Linked DNA regions of Cricetulus griseus. The protein of the gene in region 2 purifies or fractionates together with the protein of the main gene of each other region. This does not show direct contact. Links are inferred from orthologs where the notes say so. Each region holds a gene or a part of one and is shown on either strand. Other genes may lie near its edges.

Evidence for each region. Proteins that work in one complex are often made in the same cells at the same time.
Region 1: the proteins of Acvr1 (region 2) and Tgfbrap1 purify together in Homo sapiens (co-immunoprecipitation; 3 studies listed by BioGRID and IntAct, counting the BioPlex papers as one, with this or other methods). This does not show direct contact. The link is inferred for Cricetulus griseus from reciprocal best matches to the Homo sapiens genes ACVR1 and TGFBRAP1.

Annotation. Positions count from the first base shown.
Region 1 is NW_023276807.1:5,438,600-5,446,221, reverse strand, and holds part of Tgfbrap1 (transforming growth factor-beta receptor-associated protein 1), read right to left. Parts: intron 7,358-7,622; coding exon 7,214-7,357; intron 4,894-7,213; coding exon 4,747-4,893; intron 3,978-4,746; coding exon 3,818-3,977; intron 2,334-3,817; coding exon 1,900-2,333; intron 118-1,899; coding exon 1-117. UniProt on the Homo sapiens protein: Plays a role in the TGF-beta/activin signaling pathway. It associates with inactive heteromeric TGF-beta and activin receptor complexes, mainly through the type II receptor, and is released upon activation of signaling.
Region 2 is NC_048599.1:116,425,310-116,431,801, reverse strand, and holds the end of Acvr1 (activin receptor type-1), read right to left. Parts: intron 2,787-6,492; coding exon 2,656-2,786; intron 1,969-2,655; coding exon 1,834-1,968; 3' UTR 756-1,833; downstream 1-755. UniProt on the Homo sapiens protein: Bone morphogenetic protein (BMP) type I receptor that is involved in a wide variety of biological processes, including bone, heart, cartilage, nervous, and reproductive system development and regulation.

The sequences.
Region 1 (7,622 bases), on a different chromosome or scaffold from region 2:
GGTGTGCACAAGCCCTCCGTTTGGGTATCTGACAAACACAGGCTCACTGAAAGGGTTCTGGCAGAGCTGGCAAAGCTTTTTTTCAGAGAGCTGGACTGCACTTCCCTTCAGCTTCATCTGCAAACAGAAAGCAATAAATAGTGAGGAGGCTGAGTCAGGGTGGATGCACATTCTGTCATGGACGATGATCGCTGCCAGGACTGCACCCCATCAACTTCTTGACACAGGACACAAGAAATGGAAATAAACAGAACCATTCTTAGTGAGCAGACAGAGGAAGCAGCAGAGTTGCTTTCCTTTTATTTTTAAATATTGATTTAGTCATTTTTATATGTATCTCTGTGTGCCTGTATGAGTTTATGTGGCTGCAGAAGCCAGAAAAGGTCATCAGACCCCTGGAACTGAAGTGAGCCACTGTGTAGGTGCTGGGGACTGAACCCAGGTCCTCTGCAAGAGCAGTAAGCGCTCTTCAACTCTGAGCCATCTATCTCTCCAGCCCCAGGAGTTAGTTTTCTTAAAGTAACCACTGTGCCTGGAAATTCCTACACAAACTCTTCCCTTCAGCATTCTCAAAGCGCTGGCTGTCTTAACCCCAGACTGACACAAGAGCATGGCTATCAGAGCTGAGTATCAGGGACCAAGTAAGACCCTCATTTGCATATAAAAAGAAGGACCCAAATCAGGGATTTGGCCACAGTCACTCAGTTAATTAGTGGCACATTCCCACATCACAATTTCATTTTTTGAAAGTTAGTAAGAAACAGTACCTGTCACTATTGGTCCTAGTCTGATAATTAGGACTTGAGTTGCATAACTTGAAGTTTCTCTATACAATCTCTCCATCAGTCTGGGCAAGTCAGTCCACTGACAGGGGCAAGCAGCAACTCAGGGAATTCTCCTGCATGAACTAGTACTCTCAACATGCAGCCCAGCAGCATGCTGGGATTGGCACTAGGGAAGCATAAATAAAGGTTCCTGTCCTCAATATCTAAAAGTAAGAGAGGAAGTTGTCAATGCACACATAAGGGGTGTGGGTAGGCAAAAGACTTAAAGCTTAAGGCTTTAAGGTGGAGAAAAAGAGTCAGGCCAAATGCTGACTGGGTGTTCACGAAGAAAAAGGAAAACTACTGCAGGTGGTGGAGTCAGCATTGCCAAGGATAGGAGGTAAGGCAGCAGACCACATGGCCAGACAGCTAAGCCAGGGCATGCACTGGGAAGCAAGAAGGAATTAGAAAGAGGTGATACTGAATCTCCCAGGCCACAGGGTCTTAAGGAAGGCTTATGTGTGGGACAATAAATGATTCCTGCTGTTTCAGCCAGCCATGTGGGTTTCCGAACTGGCCTAGAAGGTACTTCCTTCTGGGCTCTTCCATGTGACTGTCACAGGCTCAGTTTTGTCCTCTGTGCACGAGAGAGGACACCAAGAGACACCACCATGATGCTATAAAGTGCTCCAAAAGGCATAAAGAATGTATCTGGGGAGCCGCGTCACTATTCTTATAGCACTCGCCCTCCCTACACAGTTTTCCTGGTTTGTTTGAGACAGGGTCTTGCACTGAAGCCCACACTGGTCTGGAACTTACTATGAACCCCAGGCTGACCTTGAGGTCCTGACCATTTTCCTGCCTAGCCCCCCAAGTTCTGGGACGACAGTGAGTGACCCCATCCAGCTCTATAGCTGCATGATTACCTGTGTCCCAATGGGAAAGGCCTCACTGATATTGCCAGTGCAGCCTCTGCGTCTGCTCACATAGATCCCTGTATCTTGGTGGAAACACTCAATACGTGTAGAATAGAAATAAGAACTAACCAAGACCATTTTTTCATAGGCTAAAAACTCACTTCTCGTGCAAAATGGGCTTGCAGAGAAGCAAGTTAGCACAAAGGCCAGGCACTCACCTTATCATATGTGTAAATCAGGTTTTCTGACTTGGCCAGGCCAAGAGCCACCTGTGTGGTCCTCCTGGCATGGATGCTGTCCCTCATAGCCCCTGTGAGGAACGGGCAGAGAAGCTGCACTGACCAGGTATCAGGCAGTAGCTGTAGGACCTGGGTGGCATCAAACTCCCTGGAGTGATGGTTCAGCAAGTCCACAGCAGCCACAGTCAGCTCATGGGCAGAGGGGCCTGCACGGAGGTACATGGCGAGCAGTGTGTGGAAAAGGCGCTGACGGCAGGCTGCGTCCTGACCCTCAGAGCCCCATAGGCAGTAGTCCTCAGCTGCAGAGAAGTCCCCCATCTCATGCACCAGAATATGCAGGGCCTTCTCGTGCTCGCCCAGCTTCCCGTGGAGGATGGCACTTTCCATGGGCAGGCCAGCACCCTGGATCTTCTCTGTCAGACAAAATTGGCACTCAGTAACACACTGGGCTGGCTGGCTGAGGCCACCTGCTTGTTCCTACAGCCTCAGAAAGCGCAGGCTATGCAGCTACTCTAGACATTGCTAAATACTGCCACCTAGATGGTTGAGGGAGGTGGCTCCTTGGATTTTTCCCCTGGTGACTCTGAGTCATAGAAAAACTGGACAGACTCCACTGCTATGAACCAATGGGTGAGTCTGGTCTCAAAAGGTCCCTAAGCATTGCTAGAACCCTATCTTCTGGTCTGCAGTTACCATAGCATCACTCTATCTTCCGGTATGAAATCTTATGACTAACACACGGGGGAACAACTGTCCCTCCCTCTGTGTCTTCAGGGGAACTAGAGTCAAGACTCTCTCAGAAAGAGCCCCAAATTCCCTGTAGTGTTTTCCAGTAACTAACACTTTATACTTAAGATCACCTCTGGAGGACTTAGGATACAGTGTAAACATGGCTGACCGTAAGGCTATGATATTTAGGGGGACATATTTTCAAATCACAGTTGGTGGAATCTACAGATGCAGAACCCATGGATAAAGTCCAAATATCCACTTAACTCACAAAGCCATGTTCAATGCCCTTTGTTCCAATTTAAAATACGCTTCACTGAAAGGAACATGGGTTCAAGGTATTTTAAAAAATCCTATCTGTATTATCCAATGAGTGTCTGCAGATCTAAAAACTTTTCCTCTATTCCCCCTGCAGTTAAGCTTCTAGAAATGACACAGCCCAGAGGCATGTCAGTCCTCATCAAGGCTCCCCATTAGTGGGCTGATGGGCTGAGTCTCACTACCCAAGGTCACTTTGCTCCTCTGTGGGCTATGAAATAGGGAACAACACAAGATCTTTCCCTGCTGCAATAGGATAATCTCAGGCCAACTCTCTGTTGAGGGCCAAGTTTAATACTAAATGATAGGCACTGGTATCTGTAGTTTGGCCACTATGGGCTGCTCCTCAGGCCTAATTCCCGAGGCAGATATTACCAGCCTGGAGGTAACGGGCTGGCTGTATAGCCTGTGTCAAGTAGAGCAGCAGCCAGACACCACAGCACACATGCATTGCCATTCTGCCCACAGTGGAATGTCAGGAAACAATTACTAGGAGGCTGCCATATTTAAGGCACAGACAGAGGTACAAAGGTTAGCAGATGGGAGCTACACAGGTTCTATGCTCAGACTATGACGTTCAAGGGCATGAGCATCGCAGATCTGGGGAGTCCTGGGGGCCCACGTGACACCTCCAAGGATACTGAGTGATGAAGGTACTGAAATCATTAGAAAGACCTGAATCGTGGGTGTTTTAAAGCTCAGTCCAAAACTCATCAGGACAGCTCTGAGGAAAGAAAAGGGGCTCAAGGCTCAAGGAAGCACCCTATGGGACCCAAATGTACTCTGGGACAATGGCTCCCAGCCCCAGCCCCAAAGAAGTCTCTCACTGGGATGCAAAGCTTATCCTCACCTTTCAACAAGTGGACGTGGTATGAGTCAGACTTCTGGAGCAGCCTCCGGAGTTTGACCTGAGTCTCAGTGGCTTCCATGTCCTTGCTGCCAGTGGCTACCCTCTGCCTCAGCACTTCTTCCAGGTAGAGGGTGGCCAGGTGGGTGTGGTACTCTTCTTTCTGTAGAAATCAGGGATGCGCCAGACACAGTGTTTACATGAGGGAGGCTGTGCTGGATTCTTAAACATGGTGGGCAGGACACCATCAGGGCACTGGAAAACCCCCAGCAACCCCAACACAGAAGAAGGGATTACTTGCTATAGCGTGGATGCTGAATGTGCCCCCAAAGTCCATGGGAAGCTACTGGGGGCAGTGGGGATGGAACCTGGAAGGAATGGAGCCAATGGGAAGGAGTGGGACCACAGCAGGGACAATGGAACCTCAACAAATGCTCTGCTCTGCCCTCCTGACTTTCTGGTCATGGCACTGCCCTCTTCTGCCAAGATGCTTCATCAAAAAGAATGGGACAACCTGCCACAGATCAAAAGCTCCAGGGTTGTGGGGCCAAACAAACCCCTTCCCTCCTTAAGTTAATTGCCTGGGGTATTTTGTCATATGATGGAAAGAAGACTAACACAGGTGGGGGGGGGGGACACATGAAGGGGTTATTATCATTCTGGTATTCTACAAGTGATGTAGCTTCTCCCATTTTCTTTGAGGATGGTAACAAAGAGAAGTGGAGTGGTTATGAGACTGGAGATACAAACATCTACCTAGTCCCTCCCGGTTGTTTCCACTAAGGCTCATACTCCCTCAAATAATCAACAAGAACAGATGGAGTGACCGAGGGACACCATCAGCCCCAAAAGCGACAGTCAGATTCCTTATCCTAAGTTGTGAATGACTTTGTAGCCTGCCAGGGACCTTGGTCCAGCCTCTGAGTGCTCACCTGTAGTCTCCTGTCGATAACAAGATGCTCCAGATATTTAACCAGGGCTTTAGGATATTTCTTAAGGCAACGAATAATGTCATCTGGATTAAAACTAGTCTGTTGCTGCTCATCCAGGGGTCTCTTGGTGAAAACTTGAACTCCGATCTGCAGAAAGAGCAGCAATTCAGTTTTCTCCATCTTTCCTTTAGTAACTTAACATTTATGGTTTGGCTAACTTCATGCAGAATATGCTGATGGATTAAGCAGGTGCAGCTTCTCATACGCCACACTCATCTCAAAAATATGGAAGAAAACAGTCTAGCAAGAAGTCCTGAGAAAGACCAAACAAAGGACACAATGCAGACAGGAACAAGGCCAGCATTTTGAAACAATCCCCACTCACTGCTGGGATTTCTCGTAGAATGGTTGGCAACTGACGAATGGAGCAGTCACTGGTAATAAATAGGCTTTGACAGCCATGCAGCAAACACTTGTGTTATTAAGCTTATCCTAAATAGAGACTGTCCCTTGCAAAGTTTAAGAGAGAAAAAATCCAAAAAGAATGAAAATGCAGTGTACTCTTGGTTCTCTGAATGCATTGTCTGGCTAGGGGATTATTTCCTGTGCTTGGCTAGTCCACCATCTGAGCCTGTCATCCCTGAACAGCTTCCAGGCTGCCTTCCCGTGTCAGCAATGAGGAGCACTCTAGACCGATCCTGCCTTCTGAGAAAATACTAAGAAGACCATTACTCCTTGTTGGGTTCACCGTACACTTACATGTGCAAGTATTATTGCATGCCCACAGGTTTACATGCACACATACCACATAACATCTGAACCCCAAACACGAGAAACACGACCCAGCTCCAGGTATGGATTTGTGTCTCAGCTTTGCCTGTCTACATGACCTTGAAAAGCTCTGCTATTTGTTTGTTTTTTTCCTTTTGTTTTCCGTCTTGTTTTTAGGGTTTTGTTGTTGGTGGTGGTAGTGGTTGGTTGGTTTTTTCAAGGCTTTCTCTATGTAGCTCTGGCTGTCCAGGAACTCACTCTGTAAACCAGACTGGCCTTGAACTCACAGAAATACACATGCCTCTGCCTCCTGAGTGTTGGGATTAAAGGTCTGTTAACCCCATTTGTGAACCTTGCTCTTCAAGAAATGACAAAGGTCAAGTGGTGGGCCACGATGTGGCACACAGAATCTGTGCATTTGGTTATGATTGCCCAGTGAGTGGATAGAACTTAACCCTTTCAATGACACTGTATCCACACCACAAGAACATGTGCTGGTGTGTTCTGTAGGCATGTGTAGGGGTAAAGGAAGAATGGAAGAAAAAATATACAAGGAGGGGCCCATGAGCTGGCTCAGCAGGTAAAGTTACTTGCTACCAAGCTTGAATATTTGACTGGAGTAAAATTTGACTCCAGTCAAATATTCAAGGGAAATGCTTGGAGGAAGATGAAGACCTCAGCTGTCCTCTGTCAATCATACATACAAAGTGGTACATATATGTACATGTATGTGCACAAATACACACAAATAAATGTAATTTAAAAATGTTTCAATATAGAAGGCATAAGGGCTCTGACCTGGCTCAGGAAGTAGAATGCATAGCAGGAGAGTCTGCCCTGCCCTGCCTTGAACTTGTCTGATCTTGTGTCTCCAAGGGGGGCCAAGGAAATGTTATGCTTGCTGACTTTGTGAGAGTGACCTGTGGGGCCCCATTAAGGTCTGTGTCCTTCTCTCCTGAGCATGCTGCCTGTCTTTAGAGCAGTGGTTCTCAACCTGTGAGCTGTGACCCCTTTGGGGTCACATATAAGATATTTACATTATTATTCATAACAACAGCAAAATTACAGCCATGAATTTTAGGGTTAGAGTCACCACAACATGAAGAACAGTATTGAAGGGTCTCAACATTAGGAAGGTTGAGAACCATGGCTCTACAGCCAAGAGCCAACAGTTGCTTTTTCACTACTATATTGTTTCAGACTCCAAGATGAGGCAGGTCATGGTCAGGCCACTTCACACCTCCATGTCCAGGGCCTCTAAGTAAGAGACAGAAACAGAAGAGGACGGTGCTCTTCCTGATGTGGCCCAGTTGGGGTCTACTTCTTGAAAGACCAGGCTGTGCAGGTCTTTCCTGGGAGCAGGGAACAACCTGCTCCCATCCCAGAAAACAAAATGCAGACTTCTGTTTCCCAGCAAGTGAAGAGGGAACTATAGAGTGTTTTCAGAACACCAGGAGCATGCTGCAGACTAGGGAGCATGCTTCAGACTAGGCAGTTTGTATTTCTAGAGAGGCATCTGCAGGATCTCAGCAGCAGCACACTATGGCATTTGCTCTTGCACAAAGGAAGGGATTCAAAATGGTACAAAGTAAATGGGGAGAATGAGTGTAGCTTTTTTCCCCTTCCACCTAAAGCTGAGGGGGCTTAGGTGTCTTTTACCAGCCATTCTGAAGAGAATGCATTATGAAACACAAACCTCCTCACTTTTCTGCAACAGCCAGTCAGCGTGTGTCCACACCAGCTCTTTGTCTAAGCAGTAGGTAAGAAAATCAACGATGTATTCATACAGGTCTGAGCGTGTGGAGTCCTGGATGTCCCCGTTCACAATGTTCACCCACAACTGAAAAGAAATAAAACCCAAGAAACTTTAAATCCAGAATGTTATATGTCTTGTAGAATTATCTTACAAAGCCCTTGTTTTCTTATTCTCTTAAGACTTTTAAAAACACAGGATGAAGCATCCCTCACATGAGAATCTAGAATCCGAACACTGGCTAACATGTTGACAGTACAGCCTGGATTTCAGGGTTGCAGACTGGGTGACTGGCTGGGGTGGCTCTCACTGCCCATGAATTACTTTAAAATCTGAAAAACTCTGACATCTA
Region 2 (6,492 bases):
ATTCATGGAGAGAGAAAGCTGCATGATGATGTCGGGGAAGACGGAGAGGAGAATGAGGAAGTTAGCATTTAATAGATACAGAGTTCGGTTTTATGAGGTCCAAGGTCTATGGACGGAATGTGGAAATGATGACCTAACTGTAGATGTGCTTAATGCCTCTGATCTGCATATGTTAAGTTTGTTAAAATAGTAAATTTTACGCAGTGTATAACCTGAATTAATAGGCCCATTTTCACCTAAAACAAGTTGAATATGATTCTACTCTATGCCATGTAAATGTACACTAAGGAACTTACTAGCCACCTACAGAAGACCTTCAGGAGTCCCTGCCCCCCCCCCCCCTTTTTGGTTGCTTACTCTAAATCCCACCTTCCATGCTGTTGTAGACAGAAAGAAAAAAAAAGTGAAGGGCAGACTCCTGAGCCCTATGGGGTAACAGGCTCTGCACTCACTGGGACCCAGCACTAGACAACAGCTGTCCTCCTTTTCAGGATCACAGCCCAGGGTGGGTAACAAGCAGAGAATCTGCACATAGACTTTAAATGAGGGAGGCCAAGGGAAAAAACCCTAGTACAAAAGAATGGGGGGGGTGGTCTCCAATTCAAACTGTGAGCTAGCTCCTTAGATCCCCGGGCTCCTTACTCCCCTTGAAAAGCAAATTCAATTTTCAAATTAGTTTTTTTGTCTCTACTCCTCCTCAAAGATAGCACATTAGATTACACAGACCTTTTTTACACATTAAAAAAAAAACACCATTTGACTTGAAAACAGTTTATTTAATTTATACAAATAACTACGAAATACAAAAAGTAGATTAAAACAAAATAGTTATTTTTTTTTCTGGCAGAGTTTAAATGCACATAATGGATAATTCTGAAGAAGATGCATTTTTTCCCCCACAGCGTTTGGGACTAAAATTCTACTGAAATCTTTGCTTCTAAATCAGTAATATATTGGGTGGTGTCGTATGGGTAATGACTAAATACGTTCTGCATACGAACTGAAAAGAAAGTTACAGTCTACACACATAAAAAAAAATGTGAAGCACTTAAAATGTGAATTTAACTGATAATAAAAGAAAATGTCCATTTCAGAGTCTAGTGTTAAAAACATTTCGGTAATAAAATCATAAGACCACATAAAAATAAGCTTTAACATATGCATGAAGCAGTTTTGTAAAAACTGCTAAGTGCACAAGTAATAAATAATTTGCAAAGTTGTGTATAAACAATTCCTAATGTTCGCATCGTTGTAAACATCAGCACGTGTGTAAAATGCAGCAGAGTCTAACATTACATTTTTTGTTTTGCCAAATTGAATTCCTATTATCCAAAGATAGACCAGTGGAGTACGCAGCCGATGTTTTGGCAAGTTGGGTCTTTAAAATTAAGGGTAACAGTGCAAGTAAGGAATGCACAGAATTCCTAGTGCAACAAAGAAGAGTAGTGCAGCCAATATTGCTGATTAAGAATTCACCACCTCCTTGAGTTTCCCGTGGGGAGTGTCTAGGAGACCCGTGAAAGATATGCAAAGCCACTGTCTTAATGCCCAGATCTCTTGCAGGATCTCTCTGTGTTCCTCCAGTCCCCTCCCTTTGCAACCGTATCTGCCCACCATTAGTCTCTGTGGTGGGAACATTTCACCAAGTGCCCAGGTCACAGTTTTTGAGCGAGGTTAGGGTGATTTCGGTGTCTCCCTGGAACAGAACATGGCTGGGAGAGACGGCTGTCGAGAGGGCGACCACAGTTCTGTTCTGACTACTGGTCAGGCCAGCATTAGGTCCCAGCTGGACAACGACAGTGTTGACTCTTCCTTCTTGACACCGTGAAAATGTCAACAGTCAGTTTTTAATTTGTCTAGGGAATTATCAATTTTGGTCAAAGTCTTTTTGATACGCAGAGCTGTGAGTCTTGCAGATGGGTTCTGATACCAGCATTCTTTCATAAGCTTCGCCAGGGAAGTTAATGTCTGGGGAGACAAAAGAAACATCACACACACTGGCTTTTTAGTGGTGCTGGAGACCGGGCAGATGTTGTGTCAATTGTTTTAAAGAACCCTGAAGGTCTTGAGAAGCTGGCCACAATATAGCCGTCTTCTTTAAGCAAGTACTCAAGGCCTTAGCACCAATGGAGAAGCCATGCAGTGTTCTCTGAACTTCTTTTGGAACTTACTTTATCAGATAAATGCCATGGGCCAACTCACAGCCCTTGGATTTTATGGCTGCTAAAAGTAACACCACTAACTCAGAGATAAGAGTGAAATTGTAGAAGTGGTCTTGGATATGCTACTACTATGAGCACCAATTCAGGCTCCTCAGCATCAAGCAGCCTGCTTTTAGAATCTCAGGTAAGCAGAGATGGTCAAGAGTTAATTACCATCACGCAGTCTCTTGGTTTACACATACAGCTGCAACTTTAGGCAATGGCAGTGAGTGATCTCGTTCTCAACACTGGTCACACATGGACACTCATGTGACTACTGTCACTCATTAGCAACCGATTGGGCTTCTTCAAGAACTATACCACTTTCCAAACCCATGCAACTAGGCTCTAGGAACCTACATAAAGACATGTAGAAGGGTAGCTGCATAGTGCACACCATGTAAGCTCCAGGAAGCTAATAATTGCAGGGATGAACTAATAACAGTGTGCTTACCGGGTCTGAGAACCATCTGTTGGGTATGTTTGGCCTCTGTTGATCCACACAGACAACTTTCCTCATATCTTCAAAACTTGGATCATTGGGAACAACATCATAGAATGGTGGCTTGTAATCTTCCACTATACCTGTGTAGACCAAGATGAGAATTATGTGGGTTAGCAGGAGAGTTTACAATCCCCTCCCCAGGGTTTCACTGCTGTGTATCATTGTCAGGAGTTACAATGGGACAGGATAAAGTACCATTCATCTTTTTCCTATGTCAAGGCAGCTTTGGAAGCCACAGACAGGCCCAAAAATAAGTTGAGAGCAAGGCAATAAATATATACCCTGCAGGAAATCGGAAGTATGAGACGAAGACAGAAAATCCTCTCATGAAATCACAAGTACTAACATAGAGCTCACAGCTGTCTGTAATTTCGGTTCCTGGGGATCCCACACCCTCTTCTGACCTCCATGGGCATCACACACACACACACCACACACACACACACACACACACACACACACACACACACACACACACTCCACATGTTGCACAGGCACACATGGGCAAAATACTCATGCACATAAAGTTACAGTTAAAAAAAAAAAACTTTTTAAAAAGTATCTGCCAGCATCAAGAAGGCAAAAAACAAATCAAGACCATCATCCAAACCACTTTTTTTGCTAGGAAGTTATTTTGTCCAAAAAGTCATCGCTTTCAAATAATGCCATGAGGGGCATGCAAATAATATGATGTGAGGTCCTCATTTCCCCATCACTCACTCTGCACACAGGCATGTCCTCAAACTACTAAGCTTAAGTGTCTGTTTGGTGATTCCTGCAGTCATTATCAGTACCTATCTTTTAACAAAGAAGATGAATTCCACAAATCAATTTAAAATTTCACCATATGGAATTATCAAAGTGACCGCCCTCTTACATTCAAGAACCAGGGAAATTACTACTTGGTTTTCTTCATCAACAATGCGGTCAGTGACTAACTCAGCGGCTGGCCCTTTTCCTTCTTGCGCATAACTCACTTCTATTCCTAGACACACAGGCGCGGCTGCAGGGGACAGAGGGAAACTGTGAGTAAAAGGTATAACTAAGCTTTTGCAGTTCTTGCAAGCCCCTTAAAAGAGCTTTAATCCCCTTTTCGTTTGTCACAGAGGTTAGTGAGAATCCACTCGGACCAATTTCACATAAATACAAACCACTTATGCAGAAGCTCAGAAATAAGGAGCAGCTGCTCTAGAAATACTACAGGGTTTCTAAACCTCACAGAGTTTATTTTTAAAATGGAAAGTAGTCTAAATTGTATCTTAAAAATTCTAGTTGACACTTTGTTAATTCTAAATAATGTAGCCATGTTATTTAGTTGCATCTGGGATATGGATGCAAATTAAACCTTTCTTGGCAAACATCAATTGCATAAACCATGGCTCACAGGAGGTGGCTACATTTTCTCCAAACCTTACCTATTTCTCTTGTAAAGATCCCGGAATACTTTCAAACAAAAATGTCTTCCGTTTTCACTTCTTAGAGAAATCACCCCAAACACAACTGAACATCAAGCTATTCCATCTTTTGTGGAGCTGGATATGTTCACAGGAAATGGACAGCCAAAGTGCTATTCACCATCTCTCCATTTATACACTGGGATACACTACATAGACTGGCCTAATTCTTTAAAAATGTAGCATAATCACTGGCTATTTGAGGGTAACTTATTCAGTTAGCACCAAAAGGGTTATGTGAATTTGCGCAGTAATGCAACACACACACACACACACACACACACACACACACACACACACACACACAGACACAAATCAAACATAGGTGTATATTTAAAACATAAGACTTAGTGAGTCCAACAATGCACACTGCCATACAAAACCCTAGTCTACTTGTGTTTCTATTTTTCATATTTTGAGCTTATTAAATGTTGTCATGTGTTAACAAAAGGAACTGAGATTTTCAAACAAAGACTACTTAATTCAATGTGAATGGAAACCTCAGTCATGTCTCTCTTTCTTCAGTCATTGGCTCAGACTCATGATTTCCATCTGACTCTGGCTATGCTCCTCAAAAAGATTAACTAACATAAAAAAAAATACTCTGGGATTAAACTGCAACGGTCTTCTTCAGGAAACTCACTTTGGTACAGAATGCCATTTTTCCCCTATTGGTCAAAAATGCTTTGTATCTATTATGAATGAAATGTCATATTAAATATGTTACATGCTGAGAGAAATCACCATCTAGTGGAAGATAGCACAAGTATCTCTTTTTCCTTTAGACAATATAAATCTTGTACAAAAGTATCTGAAAAATGTTGCTTGCTGGTATGTGTTCATACTTGGGAGGGGGTTGTATAGAGCTAGAAGTCAAATCCAGGTAATGTTATTTGAGTGCCATCTACTTTTTTGTTTTGCTTTTTCTGTTATGTCTTGTTTTATTTGAGACAGTCTCTCTCACTGGTCAGAAGCTTGACCGGTAGACTAGGCTGGCTGGATAGCAGCAGGCTCTGGAGACATCCCTGTCCCTGCCTCCCCAGCACAGGGACTACAAGCATGCACCATCATGCTTGTACATCTATGTAGTGTCCTGGGATTGAACTCACATCCTCATGCAAGTGCTGTACTTGCTCCCCAGCTCCCTCAACACCTTTTCACAGCACTATTTGCTTTTACTTGGAAGGGAGAAATCTTATGTTTATGTGTTAGCTCCTATATAGATTCAATAGTCATTTGATCCATTAACTGTGTATTAGAGGCTGAGCCTGGCAGCAGGGATACAGAAATGAGGAAGATGGAGTATTGGTGATGAACAACAAAACAAAATAATGGCAAACAGATGAAAAGAGGAACATCAACTAGTATTACAGACAGGAGCAATGGGATAGAGCTCAGAGAAAGGGACATGTGTGGTTTCCTAAGTAGTTTCTAGAAACTGGGTGGTGTCATGGAAGCGAAGATGTTCCAGGCAGGGGGGCAAAGATAAGTAAATATGGGATGCAGAAAAGAGGCCAGGAAAAGAAAAACCACTAGAGAGAGGGTATTTTCCAGGTGTAAGGTGTTTACAGACCCCAGAAAAGATGAGAGAAGTCCCCTGTGAGTGAAACTGGTGTATGTGGTAGACAGAATCGGGAAGGCTAGGGTGGAGGGTGGACTGAGCATTTAGAGTGTGCTAGATAAAGACTGACTGACTTAACAACTGCTCCTCACCTTCTGCATGAATGTGACAATCTGTTTGGCTAAGCAAAAAAGTGAAGCATGAGTCCCAAGGATGCAGCACTGGATGAGCTTTGCCACACCCTGAACCAGCTGAGAAGATACCAAGAATGAAGGAAAACAACTAAAAATACACACCTCTAATCTCAGCATTCTGGAGGCAGAGGCAGGCCAAGCTCCATGTCTGAGGCTAGCCATGTCCAAGGCTAGGTGCCATAGCTAGCCAGGGCAACATCGTGAGACACTGTCTCAAAATAACAAACAAAAGAACAGATAGATACACAAGTGCCAAGTGGGTGGTACAGACAACAAATGATAAGAGGGATTCAGAGAAGAGGTGACATTAGACAGTTGTCAAAGATGAAACAGTCAGCCCTGGCCTTCCCATTAAGGCTGCTGGTGACTCAAAAGGACATGGACAAGTAGATTATTCATAACTTCTTCCCCCACAGTTTTGGGCATGTTCAGTTAATTTGTATAACTGGTGTCCATGTATTGTGCCCCTGCCCCCTGGGGGTGCCACATACCTCTAATGGAAAGTTTTCTGTTCTTTGAGGCAAATCTGTCTTTCCCAACAGCCCTAGCTCTAATACGCTGCATGGCTCCGAGGAAG